4 linked regions of the Drosophila melanogaster genome follow. The protein of the gene in region 4 interacts with the protein of the main gene of each other region in a pairwise test. Each region holds a gene or a part of one and is shown on either strand. Other genes may lie near its edges. The genes, in order: CG7992, CG17147, Ssk and Spt-I.

What was found.
Region 1: the proteins of Spt-I (region 4) and CG7992 interact in a two-hybrid assay, tested with the Drosophila melanogaster proteins (one large-scale study listed by BioGRID).
Region 2: the proteins of Spt-I (region 4) and CG17147 interact in a two-hybrid assay, tested with the Drosophila melanogaster proteins (one large-scale study listed by BioGRID).
Region 3: the proteins of Spt-I (region 4) and Ssk interact in a two-hybrid assay, tested with the Drosophila melanogaster proteins (one large-scale study listed by BioGRID).

Annotation. Positions count from the first base shown.
Region 1 is NC_004354.4:19,244,649-19,249,005, forward strand, and holds CG7992 (uncharacterized protein), read right to left. Parts: upstream 2,603-4,357; 5' UTR 2,467-2,602; coding exon 2,406-2,466; intron 2,347-2,405; coding exon 2,089-2,346; intron 1,748-2,088; coding exon 624-1,747; 3' UTR 510-623; downstream 1-509. Other genes in the region: CG7889 (uncharacterized protein), read left to right, coding at 1-9, 71-177.
Region 2 is NT_037436.4:20,222,195-20,225,840, reverse strand, and holds CG17147 (uncharacterized protein), read right to left. Parts: upstream 1,910-3,646; 5' UTR 1,819-1,909; coding exon 1,812-1,818; intron 1,555-1,811; coding exon 548-1,554; 3' UTR 517-547; downstream 1-516. Other genes in the region: CG17145 (uncharacterized protein), read right to left, coding at 2,924-3,646.
Region 3 is NT_037436.4:20,186,839-20,190,301, reverse strand, and holds Ssk (snakeskin), read right to left. Parts: upstream 1,781-3,463; 5' UTR 1,591-1,780; coding exon 1,540-1,590; intron 1,311-1,539; coding exon 1,114-1,310; intron 983-1,113; coding exon 742-982; 3' UTR 523-741; downstream 1-522. UniProt on the Drosophila melanogaster protein: Required for assembly of smooth septate junctions (sSJs), together with mesh and Tsp2A. May be important for barrier function of the midgut epithelium.
Region 4 is NT_033778.4:13,166,533-13,171,280, reverse strand, and holds Spt-I (serine palmitoyltransferase subunit I), read right to left. Parts: upstream 2,784-4,748; 5' UTR 2,711-2,783; exon of another isoform or gene 2,467-2,710; 5' UTR 2,441-2,466; coding exon 2,393-2,440; exon of another isoform or gene 2,331-2,392; coding exon 1,831-2,330; exon of another isoform or gene 1,775-1,830; coding exon 1,447-1,774; exon of another isoform or gene 1,392-1,446; coding exon 1,026-1,391; intron 974-1,025; exon of another isoform or gene 965-973; coding exon 800-964; 3' UTR 537-799; downstream 1-536. Other genes in the region: GLaz (glial lazarillo), read left to right, coding at 4,720-4,748.

The sequences.
Region 1 (4,357 bases), on a different chromosome or scaffold from region 4:
CCCAGCTGGGTGAGTCATGTCATATCTCCAGATGGGGAACGCCCGCATAACTAAGCATATTATCCTCCAGGTGACAGTGGCTACAAGGTGACTCCATGTGCGAACGTATCGGCCTGTGCCAGCCACTTTTGTCGCGATCACACCGCCGCCGTCCAGATTATCTCCATAAGACGCTAGTTTTAGTCCTAAAATAAACCTACACCACGTAAACAAACACCCACTATCTGGAACCCACTTAAGGCCTTGATTGTATCTCTATTGGGATTGTTTGGAAAATTGGAAAAGAATTTACAGCTCTTTAATGATGATAAAGATACAACTGCAAAACCTTTTAGGCGGATCATATGAAAATGTGTATATCAGAAGTTTTGTATCTAATTTCCAAAGAATTTGACTTAAGCAGTTATAGTTCTATATTTAATATTCTTAAGTCGTTTATATGCCTTGATATATAGACGAAATTTATAGCTTCTTCAACTCAGGCTCCTATTTCTGTTGTCACCAATTGTATGTGGATAAAGACTGAGAAGTCTTTTTATTTTCGATTCATTAAATACTGAGTATTTGTGATAAGATAAGAAAGTGTGTGTGTACAGCTCGGGGACCTAAGCTCAAATTCGGGCTCACTGGTTGATGGTGGGAATGGTGCCGTCGTTCAGCCAACGGACGTTGAGCTGCTCGATCTGGTGCTTCATAAAGATGATGCCGTACACCTCGTACTGGATCTCCAGCAGCTGGGCGCGATGCGTCCGGGGCACCTTCATGCCCACCACGAGTGCCAGCAGCGAGGTGATGATGAGAAAGACGAATCCCTGGGCCATCAGAGTGCTCGAGTCGGTGGCATAGAAGTAGGAGTTCTTCGCATCCGCCACAAAGTAGAAGTACACGATGCTGGTGCAGATCAACTTGAGCACATACGAGATGCATATGATGCATTCGGTGAAGCGCAGATGGGTGACCTCCAGCAGGAGAATCTGCTGCTGCGAGTACGACAGGCCAAAGAGCACAAGGAGCAGCCAGAGCGACCACCTGGAGTCCGTAACGCTGCAGAGGATCATGGCCAGCAGAGTGAAGGAGATGAGGGCCACCTGCGAGCCCACAAAGGTGACCTTCACCGACAGGAACCACTGGCAGATGAGGGCCAGCAGGCTGCCCGCAAAGATCACCCAGAACATGCCGTCGATGCCGGAGAACTCTGTCAGCCGGATGGCCGGATTAAGGGCAAACCAGTAGACAAAGTACACGAACAGGGCGAACTGCACGGCCTCCGTGAAGAGGAGCAGTAGCATTATGTTCCACTGCTGGTTCTTGGTCACGTAGAAGAACTGCAGTCGCTTGATGACCTCCGATCGCTGCTCGAAGATGCTGCCATTCGAGTTGGCGATCCGCAGGTCGTTGTCCATGCTGTTCACCAGGTCGACGGTGCCCAGAAAGTGGAGCACCTTCTGGCCCACCAGAATGGCCAACACGGCGGCCGCCACACTCAAGTAGGTGCCGGCGAAGTTTACATAGATGCCATCGATCAGTTGCTCCGTGGTCACCGTCTGTCCGGCCAGCTCCTTTACATTCCGGCTGTAGGAGGCCACGATCAGGCTGACGGCGGACGCCACGCCCAGCAGGTAGCAGCTGCAGCTGCCCGAGAGGAACAGCGACCTGCTGCCCTTGGAGCTGATCGTGAGCAGGAAGCTATAGCCGGCCACGAAGGTCATGCTGTGCGCCAAGTACGATATATAGGCTCCGACGTGGTCTGAAGTGATAATAATAGTGGGATTAAGGAATTGGAAAAACTCGCTGAAATCATACATTCAAAACATTTCTTAACGATATTGATTTAAGAATATAGATTTCAAAATCTAGCCAAGATTGAATCATGCTCAACATACTCAGATCGAGATCGAATCATTTTCAGATTGCAAATCACTTTGCCTCTCTCTCTCTCTCTATTGGGAAATAAATTCAAGTATTGTTAACTGAAATCTATTTCAAAACTTATATGTAGAACATCCCAGTTCCAGCCATATAGATACAGATTGATTTACTTTTCACAAGCCTTTCGAAGCGAATTAATAGCCCATAGAAATGACTCACCAAATCCATCGGCAAAGTAGAAGCAGCTGCCTATGAGATTAAAGACTCCGGCTGCCAGGAGCAGCCATGGCTGCCAGTAGACGATGCACTTCTTCACGAACTTGACCGTCAGCATGGCCAGGGCAGTGATCAACGCCCAGCAGGCGCCCAGAATCAATGGTCCATAGTGAATGAGTCCAGCGTTGAGGTTCCGCTCCGCAACAAAGGCGCAGATCGTATAGCCAAAGATCATGCCGCAGGGCAGGAAGCACAGGCAGACTGGAAGTGAATGAGACGTAATCTCTGGACAAGGATCTCCATTGGCGTGGCTAACTCACCCACATAGCTGGGCGCATATTTAAAGAACTTCAGCACCAGTTTGCCCCACACATTCGACATTTTTGCGATAGATTTGCGTTAGTTAGTCCAGCAGCAGGGAGAGGAAGGTTCGTCTATCGAAGGAGCTTAGAGCATTTTAGCGAGCAGCTGGAATGGAGATGCCTACGATGCGACGCCGGACAAATGGCAAATGGGCCGGTGGAAGTCCGGCGGAGAATTCGACTGCGACGAAGGCGGCGCAGATAAGGCGATAAGATAAGCCAACCCGACCCGACCAGGTGCATGTGTGTGGTGGCCATGGATACACGGGCGGAAAAGTTGAGGGTTTGGGATTATCTAGCCATTTCTCCGCTCGGGTTCATGAATTATGATAGTCAAAAGGAAATCCGATTATGTTGCGCATCTTGTGGAGAAATTCGTTGGTTATAGATCAATGTTTTTTTTTGTACCTGAATGTATCTTTTTTTGAGCAAGTATCTATCTATGGCATTACTCGAAGTACTATATTTCCCATTTTATGTAAATATTTTTACCCCAATTTATATGATCGAATTTCCTGGCGCTTTTTTCGCCAGTGTATCCCAAAGTGAGTGACTAATGCCGCAGTGGAATAAGCCACTTGGACAGATAAACAGATGTCCGCCGGTTGATAAGCTCCTTGGCAGTTGGCCCAACTGAGGGCCCCTACTATTTACCACGCTGCCACGGAAACGTACAATTTTTTGGCCTTTCATATGCATAAGAAAACAATGTGGCAAAGGCCATTGGGCCATTCCAACGATAGGGCTTAAAACTAATCTCAAATGGCTAATGGTGATAGGAGTACGGGCAATAGAACGTCCGGCGATAATGCTTGGTAAATTGATTTCAATCCAATATTAAATGCCAGCAAGTACTTTATCAGACGCAAATGGGGTGGTTGGGTTGTGGGTGGGTGGTTGGTTGCCAAAGTGGGTGGGGGTAAGTTCTTGGTTAGTTTGTTTACCTTTGAGCGGAAAATTGATTGAAGCCGAGAGCAAAAAAGAGAGAGAGAGAGAGTTGCGACAGGAAGTAAGAAAATAAAAGGCCGTATACGAAAAGATTATGGTCGAATAAATATTAAGATGGCATTCCCAGCCTACATAACAAACTATATACATATATACATTTTTAGAAATAATAAAAAATATTAGAAATACTACTTAACGATTGCGTTTTTGGAGTACATTTTATCATGTATTCGTTGTGAAGTTAGAAATTAACAAATCAATAATGTCTATTATTATTGCTTAATATAAATATAACTTTATCAGACTTGGAAATTAATTACTAACTTAAGTGAAATACTTATTTATTAAGATTTGATTTGTGTAGAAAGCAAAGATTTCGTCAAACCCTCACAAAGCGGAAATTCTTCAGATTTTAGTATCTTTTGATTTAACTATATATGTCTGCTTTCTTTCTTAAAGACATGATGTGATAGCAAGCTGTCACTACATTAATTATCTGCTACATTCAAGACTTGGCACTTCTTTCGGGCAGTGTACATTTGCGACGTCACACCAACGGCGATTCGACGAGCTGGCGAGAGAGCAAGCAAAACGCTCAGTTGCATAAGCGTCCCGAGACGAGAGAGGATGTGTCCAATGCGCCTGTGCGCTTCCCAGGCGCAACCATGACACGGCCGCTTCCCCCACCCATCCTGTCATCCTGCACAAACGGAGCCGAACCGGCGGCCCAGGCAGCGCTTATCCGCTGGCAGGGCACCCCAATGTCTTGGCCCTGCCTTATCCCTGGCTTTCACTTCCGCAACTCGGCTGCGACGACAGCTCCGGCACTTGCAGGCCGAACTCGTAGCGCCAGCACCACCCCAACCACACCAACCACCCACCAGCCACCTAACAGCAGCAGCAACCACCAGCAACTACCAGCAGCTCCAGCGTTGCGAACAGCCCCATTCCTTCAGTTGACT
Region 2 (3,646 bases), on a different chromosome or scaffold from region 4:
TAACTGATCAACAGAACGATAAAACTAATTGATTTCTAAATTTAGAAAGATTAGAAATGTGTTGTCTAATTTTAATGCGTACCATACGGGCAATTACCTGAATTTTAAATGTGTGCTATTAATGGATTGCTCATAAAGCACATAGTATATGTTTGTATTGTACCCAAAAAAACTGAAATTTCAAGCCAAATCGTAAATATAATTGTTTTGAAAACAAAATAAAAACAAAAAAAAATGCTATAGTCGAAGTCCCCGATATTTTTGAATATTAGTAGAAATTAAAAACCAAACCATAATTTAAAAATTGTTCGAAAGTGTGGTCGTGACAGTTTTGGGTGGTTTGTGGAATATTGATCCTGATCAAGAATATATACTCCATATGGTCGAAAACGCTTCCCTCTGCTTGTTACATACTTCTCAACGAATCTAGTATACCCTTTTAACCTGTGTACCTTTCTAGTGTCTTTGCTTTTAACGGATATATTGATCGCCAATAAAAATCAACTACCTCTTTTTCTTTGCACTTTTAGTTAAATTTATTTTTTGTTTAGTCCCGGCCATCGCAACACTTATCGTAGATGATCTTGGAGGAGCACGCTTCCACTGTCTCGTCGAAGAAGTGATCCCAGTGGCAGGTTTCCTCCGTCACCTCCTTGTTGTCCACACACCGGATGTAGTTGTGACAGTTATTGCTGCTGCTGGTCACCAGCATCGTGCCGCGTCCGTCGCATCTGTTGTGGGTGCACACCACTGTGGTGGGATTGGCGCAGAGCTGCCGATCCTCGTCGAAGAAGTAGCCCTCGGGGCACTGCGTCCACAGTGGATCCAGGTCGGCGACGGGATAGAGGGCCTTGCATACGAAGTATCCACGGCAGGTGGCTTGGTCGGATTTGAATGTCATTGTTGTGCTGCTGGTGCAGACGTTCTCCTTCGAATGGGCGGTGCACTCCACCTTATTGGCTTCCACGCAATTGCCGCTCTCCACATCGAAATACTCGCGCTTCTTGGAGGTGACAGTGCAGCTCTTGGACGCATGGTTACCGGTCTTGTCACACTCATAGTAGTAGGCGCAGTCCTTCTCATTCCGGAACTTCGTATTTTCCGCCACCAGCTCGCAAATGTTGTTCACATCCACGCACATGGAGTCCACGCCGTACAGGCAGGACTGAGAGCGCTCATCGAAGTGCTGGCCTACGGGACACATCCCCGCCAGCGGTACGCCGTTCATGCAGTAGAAGTACTTGTGGCACTCGGTCGGATCGGCCACCCATTCGCCATCCAATCCCTCGCAGCGATTGCCGCAGTACTTGTTGCTGTTGGCCAACGTGTCCACGCAACTACCCTTGCTGGGATTGAAGGACTGGTTGGAGGGGCAGGTCAGGACGGTGCCGTTGCCATCGTAGCACTGAATGTACTGGTCGCAGGTGCCGGGCTTGCGAACCTTGGTCCCGTTCTTGAAAAGGCGACACAGCTCCTCGTATTCACCGACACTCGCCGAAAGAGCTACGGTAGCCAACAAGAGAACGCATCCGAGAAGCACTCCAAGTTTGAGGTCTACGAATGATATACATATGATCGCGAGATATTAGATTGATACAGCACACCTTTTGAAAAACATATAGATATGCTTAAAAACCTTTAAAGATATACCTATAAAAATGAATATGAATGAACAAAATATCTAGATTCTACATTTTAATTGTATCTTTAAAAACGCATGCAAGCTGTTACTTTTCACTAAAAATAAAGGCTGAATCAGGGTGTATAAGTAAATATCTATGACGGTAAATTAATGGGTTCATAAAACTCACTTAGCATGGCTGATTGCTGGGAAACTTTGGTTTAATTTGCAACAGAATAGATCGAGTGGTTTGATGTGGCCTCGGGAACCAATTACGCGCGACTAAATGGAGTTTCGTGAATGGAAGAATCTTATATTAACTAGGAGTCATTATCGTTGCCACTGCTTCTGCTGATACCAGCGCTTTATTGCCTCTCTTATGAGCAAATCTTATCAATGTTGTGCGAAAGGAGGTAAAACCCTTCAAGTAGGTCGTAATTGGTGATTGAAATCGATTGAAATCGAGACAGCTGACTGCAGATTCCTTAACGACTCACTTTCATAGTAAATTTTGGCAACTTCAGTCGAAAAGGAAAGTGCCACTAGTTAATGAGGTATACCCACGGTAGTTACGAGTCAAATGAACCTTCTGTTGGCCGTTAATTAATTGAACTATAAATATATTTATCGCTGATGCGATTAAACGGTCAGCAGTTATTGTGCCGTAAATATGACAACCTTTTAAAATATACTGCCTTGCTATTTCACTGTCGCTTTCGATAGGTTTTTGTTTGGAAAATCAGAACTTTTGAAAACATTGATTGTAACCAACGAATAGGACAGTGATTATCATTTATGGTCTCCTCGGTGAGGCCATGCTATTCCATCGTTACCACCTGCAAGAAAAGTTTCCATGATTGAGTGAATTCTTAAAATTCTATTTGTTCATTTACCTAGTTTTCAGCTGAATTGTTCCAGGAATATTAAACAAAATACAGGTGTTCTTCACTCACCCATCAGATATTATTTATTCGAATTTCGAACTAGAACTTGTTTAAGATTATTGTTCTTTTTGGTAGCTAATCTTAAGCATTAGAGCAACGAAAACAATCTACGTTCTTATAAAAACGGGTAAAAAAACAATATATCTCAACTACGATCCTCGAGTTACAGCAAAGATACTGGCTTACAGCAGAAACTTGTCATTGTGCATAAACACGAACTCGCTAGAGAGCCGCGTATCTATATCTATGACAATCCAGGTTCCACAGTCCCCGAAAGAATCCAAACTAGTGCACTTCATTACAACACTTCCTTAACCAAATATCACATTGCATTCTGAGCTTTATTGGAAATACATGCCTACGTCTTGCACGCGGTGTAGGTCTGGACACTTGGAGTGCAGGCGCCCTGCTGGTCGTCGAAGAAGTAGTTGCCGCAGGACCTCTCGCTCACGGTTACCCCGTCGGAGCAGCTCAGATAGTTGCGACAGCCCTTGGTGGCACTAACGACAAAACTAGCAGTCCGACCGTCGCAACGATCGTGGGAGCAATAGACCGAACTGGGGGTTATGCACATCTGGCTGCTCGCATCGAAGAATCTGTCCTGGGGACACTGGTTCCACACCGGATTGGGGTCCGGGGTGCCATCCTTCTGCTTGGCGCAGTAGAAGTAGCCGCGACAGGTGGCTTCATCCGCGACGAACTTGTTCTCGTAGGGCTTACTGGCCTTGCCGCAGACATCCGTGGGCAACGGATGGGCATCGCAGTCCACCAGAGCCTTGGACACACACTCGCCCGTGCTGGCCTGATAATAGGTTTTCGAGCATGTCTTGTCCTTCAGGACGCCCTTCTCACAGACGTGATACATATTGCAGCCCTGCAGATTGTCGAAGTTTACGCCGTTCTTAACAATGCTGCAGTACTCGAAGGTGCTGGTGGTGCAATCCGATTCGTGTTGGCGGGAGCACATCTGGGTGGTGGCATTGAAGTGCGTCTCCTGCGGACAGGTGCCGTACAAGGCCGTCTCCTCGTCCGCACAGTAATAGTAGCCGTAGCAGGACTTGGGGTCGGCCACGAATTGCTT
Region 3 (3,463 bases), on a different chromosome or scaffold from region 4:
ACAACTCATGAACTCTGTTCTCAGCAAAGAAATGAGTGATATATACCAAATTCTGCGAATCGTCTGACATTTTTCCTGTGTGCATCAGTTCCTAAACAATTAGTTTAGTTTTCCATCAAGTTCTTTAAAAGAATATTAGGTTCTTGGAGAGCAATAGGTTCTCTAGTACTAGTACTAAAAACAAATGAAATATCTCACCAATTACAATATATCAGTATCAGATCGCTTGGAATATGAAATTTCGATTGGGTGTTAGTTTAAAGTCGAAAAGTTTAGTCAACAAATCTAAGTTGTCGTTTTTTGACAAAAATTAGCAAAATGCTTACGTATGATGTATGATATATATAAATAATCTTTCATTAATTGCAATGATATCAGAAAAAAAGAAACTGAGCAACACGATCAATGGGTTCTGATGGTAATTAGTTGATTTAGGTTACAATTGATACTTACTAGTAAGTGGCATTCCATTGCATCCCCTTAATTAGTTCCCAAATGCACAAAAACTTTTATCCGTGGCGTGGTCTTAACTATTTGTATTTGCCAATTTAAGGATGTTAAACGTGAATGAAAATTGTAAACAGTTAGTGTATAGTACAGCGACAATTGACCCTTACGAACGTATAGTTGATAATTGATTGCGGATAATAACTAATTTGCACTTAAATCGATCTATGTATAAAGACAAATGTGGATGGTGTTTATTCGGCGGCTGCGATTGGTATCCCCACTATTCAGTTTCTACTGCGTGTAGTCGGTGTCGCCCTTCGAATAGTGTATGCAAGCCAACACGGTGTCCAGCAGGTACAGTGCGCCCTCGATAACGCACAGCGAGCCCATGGCAATGCCCACTTGACGCTCCGAGTTCACATACAGGAATCCCTCGTCGGACATGTAACCCTTCCAGTAGTGGAGTGCCACTCCGCCCACGGCGATCCACATGATGCAGCCAACCACGTTCATGATGGTGTCGCACAGCTCTCTGAAAAACGGAAAGCCATTGAAAACAAACAGTTGTGAGTTGAGAGTGTGGAATTAAGGGCGGAAAATACAAGAAAAGGAATAAGATGCGGGTCAAAGTTCAGCTATAATCAATATCGGCATTCAACATACCCCTTATGTTTGGTTGTGCCGAAGGCAAAGGCAATGGTGTGGCATCCAGTGTAAATCAAGAATCCAACCATGACGCCTGAGGCTACGATTTCCGCATCGGCGCTCTTCTCCTCGTTTAAGTTCCACGTGCCGCCGATGCCCAGGAATTCGCCACCATCGCCCCAACGGTACAAGAAGATGATCACCAGATTGATGATCTGCGAAAAAGGAGCGCACAGGAGAGCAATTAAATGAGGTCACAATTGGGAATGGGAATGAATGAATCACTTCTTGGCCACGCCTCGCCTTGCCGTACAACTCGGCGTATGAGTAACATTGCTAATACGCCAGGACTGATAAAACGCGCGCTTATCTATCAGCCGAGTTATTGCGACCACAAACAGGCTATTGCTCAATAGGAAGGGACCAAAGAAGCCCAAAACTTACCAGCTTCAGGGCCTTGATGAAAATAGAGCCTACAGTCTCCACGGACACCATTTCGCACTAGATATGCTGATTGCTCTTATCGCTGAGCTGGAATTTGGGCAAATGCTTTAGTTCACAGAGGGGTTTCTCCCAGTCAAGGGGCACTCACAATCTTTTCTGTAATTTTCACGCGGAAACTACAGCGAAATGATTCGTTTTCGTATCGTTGTCGTTCGTCGACTAAACTGAAAAATATCACTGAAAGGCAACCAACCAACCTGTCGCGCCCAGTTCGTCGTGTCGCCAAGAATTTGTAGCTTTTGCAATCAGAGCATACACGGTCAGCGATAAGATAAGATAGGGCTCACGATAACAGGTGCCGTTCGAAATGGGTTACTAATTCGTTGACGGTTCAACATGTTCAGGCTCCGAAGCCCAATGAAACCCAGATGCGCATGCGCCAGCCCCACCCGCGTATCTTATCAAAACGGCCTTATCGCAGCTCTGTCGCCTTACATCGCGATATATCAGGTGCTCCGATTTGCCGCTTTCCACAGCATTGTTACACATTATTCATGGCGGCCACAAAGCCACAAAACGGGGAAACATACCCGCGGCTCTGAGAGACCGGAAACAATTATTCTTGCGTCATCGATGTATTTCTGAAATACTTTCGTGGTGACCCATTCCCATTCCCACTGATAAAGCTCCCGGTGGTGCATCCCTCGAACAGATTAAAAATTCACTGACCTTGTCACGATTCCGATGATCGATAGCCCAGTGGATTCCAGCTACTGATTAAAAAGTCTCAGACACACAAAAAGTCACTGGAACCTAATCTGCATTTCAATTATCACAACCCTAGCACAATAATCGTGGCTGTAGGTGGCCCATGTTCGAGATTTCGAATCAATTGGAAGAGCACAATGCAAAATGATAGGAGCAATTGGGGAGCAAAAAAGCAACTTGCGGTTGATGTGGGGTTCCTCGATTTACATATTGCCTATTTATCACAGTAAAATGGTGTATAAAAATACAACTCTTGGATGAATGGTGCGTTTTAAGAACACTGTGTAACATGAAAAGCAAACAATTTTCAGGTCACGAAGAAAAGAAAGAACTTAGTTAGAAATAGTTACAGTCCCTTGTTTCTAAATTCAATGTTTAAAAACTAATTGAAAATGGATGCATATGGTTTTTGGACAAATGAATAATTGCATAAGTTTGGAGGGCGTGGGAAATTAACTATACTGCACATTTGGCACCTCGTGCCCTGTGTTTTGTATTTAAGGCCGACATTAAAATGTGCTTGTATAAATCATAAGTTCAGAACATGGAACAAACATGAGATCACACCTCATCAAGGGTTTTTTTTATGACCCGCATTGAGTAGCAAGTATACACACTGATATTCATGAGTACTATATATAAACAAGTATTATTTACGCTGTGCCGAGGGTATTATTGGATTTCATTTCAGAAAATTTAATTTTAGCATACAACTAACTTTCCAACCTAAGCTTTTCAAAATAAATATGTTGTTTTAGCGGAAATTGTCTCTTTTGTATACAAGTTTTTAAAATGTGATTAAACGTGCTTGAATGCCTTAAGAATAGTATTTGCTTAGGGAAAACAAGTAATTGAATAAGATTTATTTAATTAAAGGTAATAAAATTAAATTTGAGCAAGGTACATGGATACTGATTTATTTACATAGATCTGCTTTCCATTTTAAATGCAAGTTGTCTGATGCCTGGATAAGCAAAGGAATATCTTCCCAAATCAAGGCCAAAGGTTGTCGAGTTCTTTGTTTTCGTTCCCCCATTGCGAATGCCGCTCAGCACCGCGGATTCTTCCCCACTTCTCAAATCCCCATGTGGAGTCCCAGAAAGCAAGCGACGTTAAATTTGGAATTTGTCTCCTCTGCATTTGGTTTGTTGCGATG
Region 4 (4,748 bases):
GCGAAAATTGCTGTAATTGCATGTTTTTGTCGCCAAATGTTGCGTATTCGCACTGATAGCACCGCACCCAAGTTCATAGTACGTATACGCTCAATTGGCGCTGATTGCCGGCTGGCATATCGGCATCGAAATCAGAGCGCTATGTGCACAACATCATGATTTGGGGTCGTCGTTGTCAAGTTCATCAGTGAATCGAATGCACAAACATGGGTTTGAAAGTCGAAGGGTTATGATTATTGCTCACAGATTAGGTCGCCACTCGGAAACAGCTCTGCTCCACTGGCAATCAAATCGTTTCAAAGCATTTCCATTCCATCTGGCTTATTCCACATATTAGTTATTATTAAGCGTGTGATGTGTATCTTAATTGTCATGCAAGAAAAACATAAATAAATAATGAATGTTTCTTTGTGGAAGTTGTTCTTGTAAATTTTACAACAAATGCCACATAATATTACCCTTATCTTTATCGGGATATTCAAAAACGTTTGCGATTGCGCAGGCGATAAGAAACACCAATAAAAGGGCACGTAACTACCAAATAAACTTAATAGTTTTATTTAACCAGCTCTGTTATCTATAACGTGTAATCTTTGAAAGTTTTCCTAGACTTAAAATTTTTCATTAAAATGCAATGCAACAAAGTGCAAAGAGCAAGTGCAAGGCTAGCTATTAACTTAAACAATTCATACTGGACTGGTCGTGAAGAAGTGATGAAAAAATGATGGGGCCAGCAGGCCTTAAAACTTAACAGCAAGGCCATTGTCGAAAGAAGATCATTCCTTTCCAACAACAAGGCTTATAGGACGGAGCTGGAAACACTCTCGATGACCTCAAACGCATTGTCTATTTCCGAACTCTCCAGCAAACGGTTGACAGCAATGCGAATGCTGGGACGGACTGGTTGGCGTTCCCTGTTCTGCAGGTAGGCAGCCTGTACCACAGCCACTCCACGAGCAATGCACTGGGAAAAGTGAGTAGAAATGTATAGTTTTCATAATTGCATGGGGAAATAAAATGCCTACCTTATCAGCCAGCTCTGTTAGAAGTTTCAGTTCCTTGTCAAAGTTCTCGGCGGGCTGGGCAAGATACAAGTGCTTCACTGGTGACACCTCATCGCCGCGCAGGGTTAGCTTGCTGAATCGCAAAAACTTCTGGTGCAACGTCTTAGACTTTGCCTGCAGCTGCTCGAAGATTTGTGGTTCTCGTTCGAAACGATCCAACGCTGAAATAGCCGCCTGGGTGAGCATGGGCGGCAGCGAGGCCGAGAAGATGTAGCCCAAGCCAGAGAGGCGCTGGTGCTCGGCTATGAAGTGCGAGCCAACACAGAAGCCACCGACTGTTGCCATCGAACCCTCCATGCCGGCCGATATCAGATCGACTTCATCACGCTAAAAGAAAAATACCAGTTATAATTTTAGTTTTTCTTTCCGGTTTACCACCTACATCGACATTAAAGTGCTCCGTAACTCCGTGACCACCCTGGCCCAATGTGCCAAAGGAGATGCTTTCGTCGATGAACAAACGCAGCTTGTACTTCTGACGCAAGGCCACCAGGTCGGGAAGTGGGCAAATCTCGCCCGTATTCATATAGATACCCTCGGCGACGAGGAAGCGACGTGTCTTAGCCGCCTTTTTCGGATTTTTCTGGTCTCGTTTTTCTTGCTCAATCAGCAGACGTTCTAGATCCTCAACGTCATTGTGCTTAAAGAAAACGATTGTGCTTCGTGAAGCATCCAGACCCTTCTGAATGGCAAAGTTGACAGCCTCATCCCTACAAATAACAAGTAATTAGTCGCCAATCTGAGTAGGTGAAGTAGACAATCCTACACAAAGATAAGGTCGCCACGTTTGGCATACGCCGGAATGGCACTGGCCACGGTCGAGAAGCCGTAGGAATAGACAATGGCCTCCTCCAGGCCCATGAACTTGGCAATACGATCCTCCAGGTCCAGATGCACGTCCATAGTGCCGTAGAAGCCCCGAGGTCCGCAAGATCCAACTCCGTACTTGCGCAGCGACTTGCAGGCCTCCTCCAGTATCTCCTGGTCCTCGAGGAAGCCAAGATAGTTGTGAGAGCCAAGATTTAGGCAGTCGTGTCCATCGACCTGGATGCGCTTGCCCACCCTGGACTGCACAACGCGGGTGTGCAGCAGGGGATGATTGGGATCGGTGTCGGCCACCAAGGGCTCTGGTTCATAGTCGGCGATTATTCGGTCTTCCTCCTCCTTGGTCAGCTGTCGGCGACGACCTCCTCCTCGTCTGTGGAGCAGCAACCAAATCACGGTTATGAGCAGTAGGGTCTCCAAGACGAGAGCAAACGTGGGGGTCTGTGGAAGGAGTAGAAACTGGAGTAAGCTAAATGTGGTGAAAAAGGCGAATGCAAACTTACGTTTCGGAAAATACTGCCGATTTCGTTGAACAATTGGATGGCCACCATTTTGACAGTCTGGTTCCGTGCCCTTTCTGTGAAAAATCAATTGAAACCGCCTTAATTCCCTGAAGTTATGTGTCATCTAGCCGACGCTTTCTTATCGCGGGTATGCCCCATACATATGTAGAATTGAAGCATTCGACCATACGGTACGGAAATCTTTTCAATTGGGTGTGTATGCTGACATAGGCTAATTGCCAGTGGGCGAAAAATGTGCAACCACGCCCTTCTCCAACATTCTCTTACATTAAATATCCATTTAAATCGAGCACTCACCACAAAACTCAGTTAACTATAGGCAAAATGCGTGAAATATCCGCCGAAACAGATGGATGAACGAATGTACTAAAAAATACCAATACGCGGATATCTTTAAGATGTGCGCCAAATTGGCGGCGATGGAGGAACAGTGGAATATGGAACTAGGGGACGTTTTTATTTATTTTTTGTTATTCAAAAACCTGGTCCTGTCGACCTGTCCCGCCCACCTGCCCCACCGACCTGTCCCGCCGATCTGACCCACCGACCTGTTCCGCTGACGTGTCCCACTGACCTGTCCCACCGAGCTGACTCGCTAACAACAAAATACAACAAGTTACAACAGATTTTAAATTTTTATTAAAAATTACCTAGATTTTATCAATATTTTTATGATACTGAACTCAAATAAACTTGCTACGTAACGGTTCTTTTCTAGTTATCATTTCAAATATATGATCGATTACTATTTTATATCGATAGGCAGAGCAGCGATCGCAGTGTGACCGTGCGGTGGGAAATAACGAAATCGAATTCAATTCAAACCGCCGATCCATTCAGTTTCCATTGAACTGCTGCTGCGATCGGTCAACCGATGTGAATGAGCCGCGTTACTGGCGCCATCTGAAATTCGAGTTCGCGAGATAAAAACCGCGAGAAGACAAAGAACACCGCAAAAAGCCGATGTAAACAAAGAGATATAGTTAGTTCTGCATTTTGCAAGAAAACTTTATCACATTACACGCGAATCGAAACGGATACTTGTATGTGCACAAAGTGAAATCAGCTGGACAACAAGAGTATTTTGCAATTGCCTTGGTTTATTTTCAGCCACTTGCGGCTGTCGTTTTCTGTGAAATTAACACTTTTTTCTATTGGCAGTGATGGGAAGTGTATATTTGGGTGTACCTGGCTGGTAGTCTAGATACAACAATTTACGCTATGTGTCGCGATCTAGTCTAGGTACAAGTATTCACTCTTCCTTGCAAATGTCCTTGTTTTAATATATAGTAAATTCTATTGCATTTCATATAATTATTTACTATTTACCTATATCACTATTCAATTAGACCCAAGGAAATACTTCTTTCAAAGTCACGATTGTATTTAAAATATACATAATCATTTTTATCAAGTTCCATTTCGTCTTAAATTACAATATTATTAAATAATTGCCAACTGATACTGATGAACTATACTATGTAGCTACCAATCAAAGTACCTTTCACATCACTATCTATCAATCAAATAGTTATAGTTAGCATTGCCCATGCGATAATGGCAAACCGAAATAGCGCAAAGAAAAGCCACTTCCTATTTCTCTTGAACTTGATGCGCTCGAATGAAGCTACCATGTCTACACCATGCCCACTTTCGCAGATAAATCGAGCAATGCACCCGACTAACTCCATGACACAATTGATGCATCCCAGCGCAGTATTTCCTCGATTAGGTATTTTCGCTTTTACCCGCTTTTTGCAATGCGCAATAAGTATCTCTTGGTGTGTGCGAAAATCGGTGGAGCAACCAGTTTTCGAGCTGCATTTTGACGTTGGCTTTTCTTTTACGTAACTCGCTGGCCGGGCACGAGCCAAAAACCAAAATAAATATCAATAATAAACACGGCGCCGCGCCAACCCAGTTAGTGGTTTTCACTTCACTTCACCTCACATCACATCACTTTACTTCTTCTTCTTTGCGGGACCTACCAATTCGGTCCGGCTTGCTCCACTAAGCCGGTAGCCAGCACGTTCCATTATCGCACACATCCCATCCGGAATACTAATGGACGGACATGGTGTACCTTTGAGGAAATGTATATGTAGTTGGTTCATGACGATCCATAGTTCGTTGGCCAAGTGAACCCGTCGTATCGGAAATCACCGCTTTGTGCACAGCCAAGTTAAAACGGTCGAGTTCAATGGAAATTGCCTGATTTCGAATTCCACACAGTTTAGTTAGGTGCTGGAGTGCCGATTCTGCCGCCTAAAGTGCCAAATATTCAAAGTGAACTATCAGAAGCAACCATGATGAGTGGCCAGCCACTTGGCTCGAG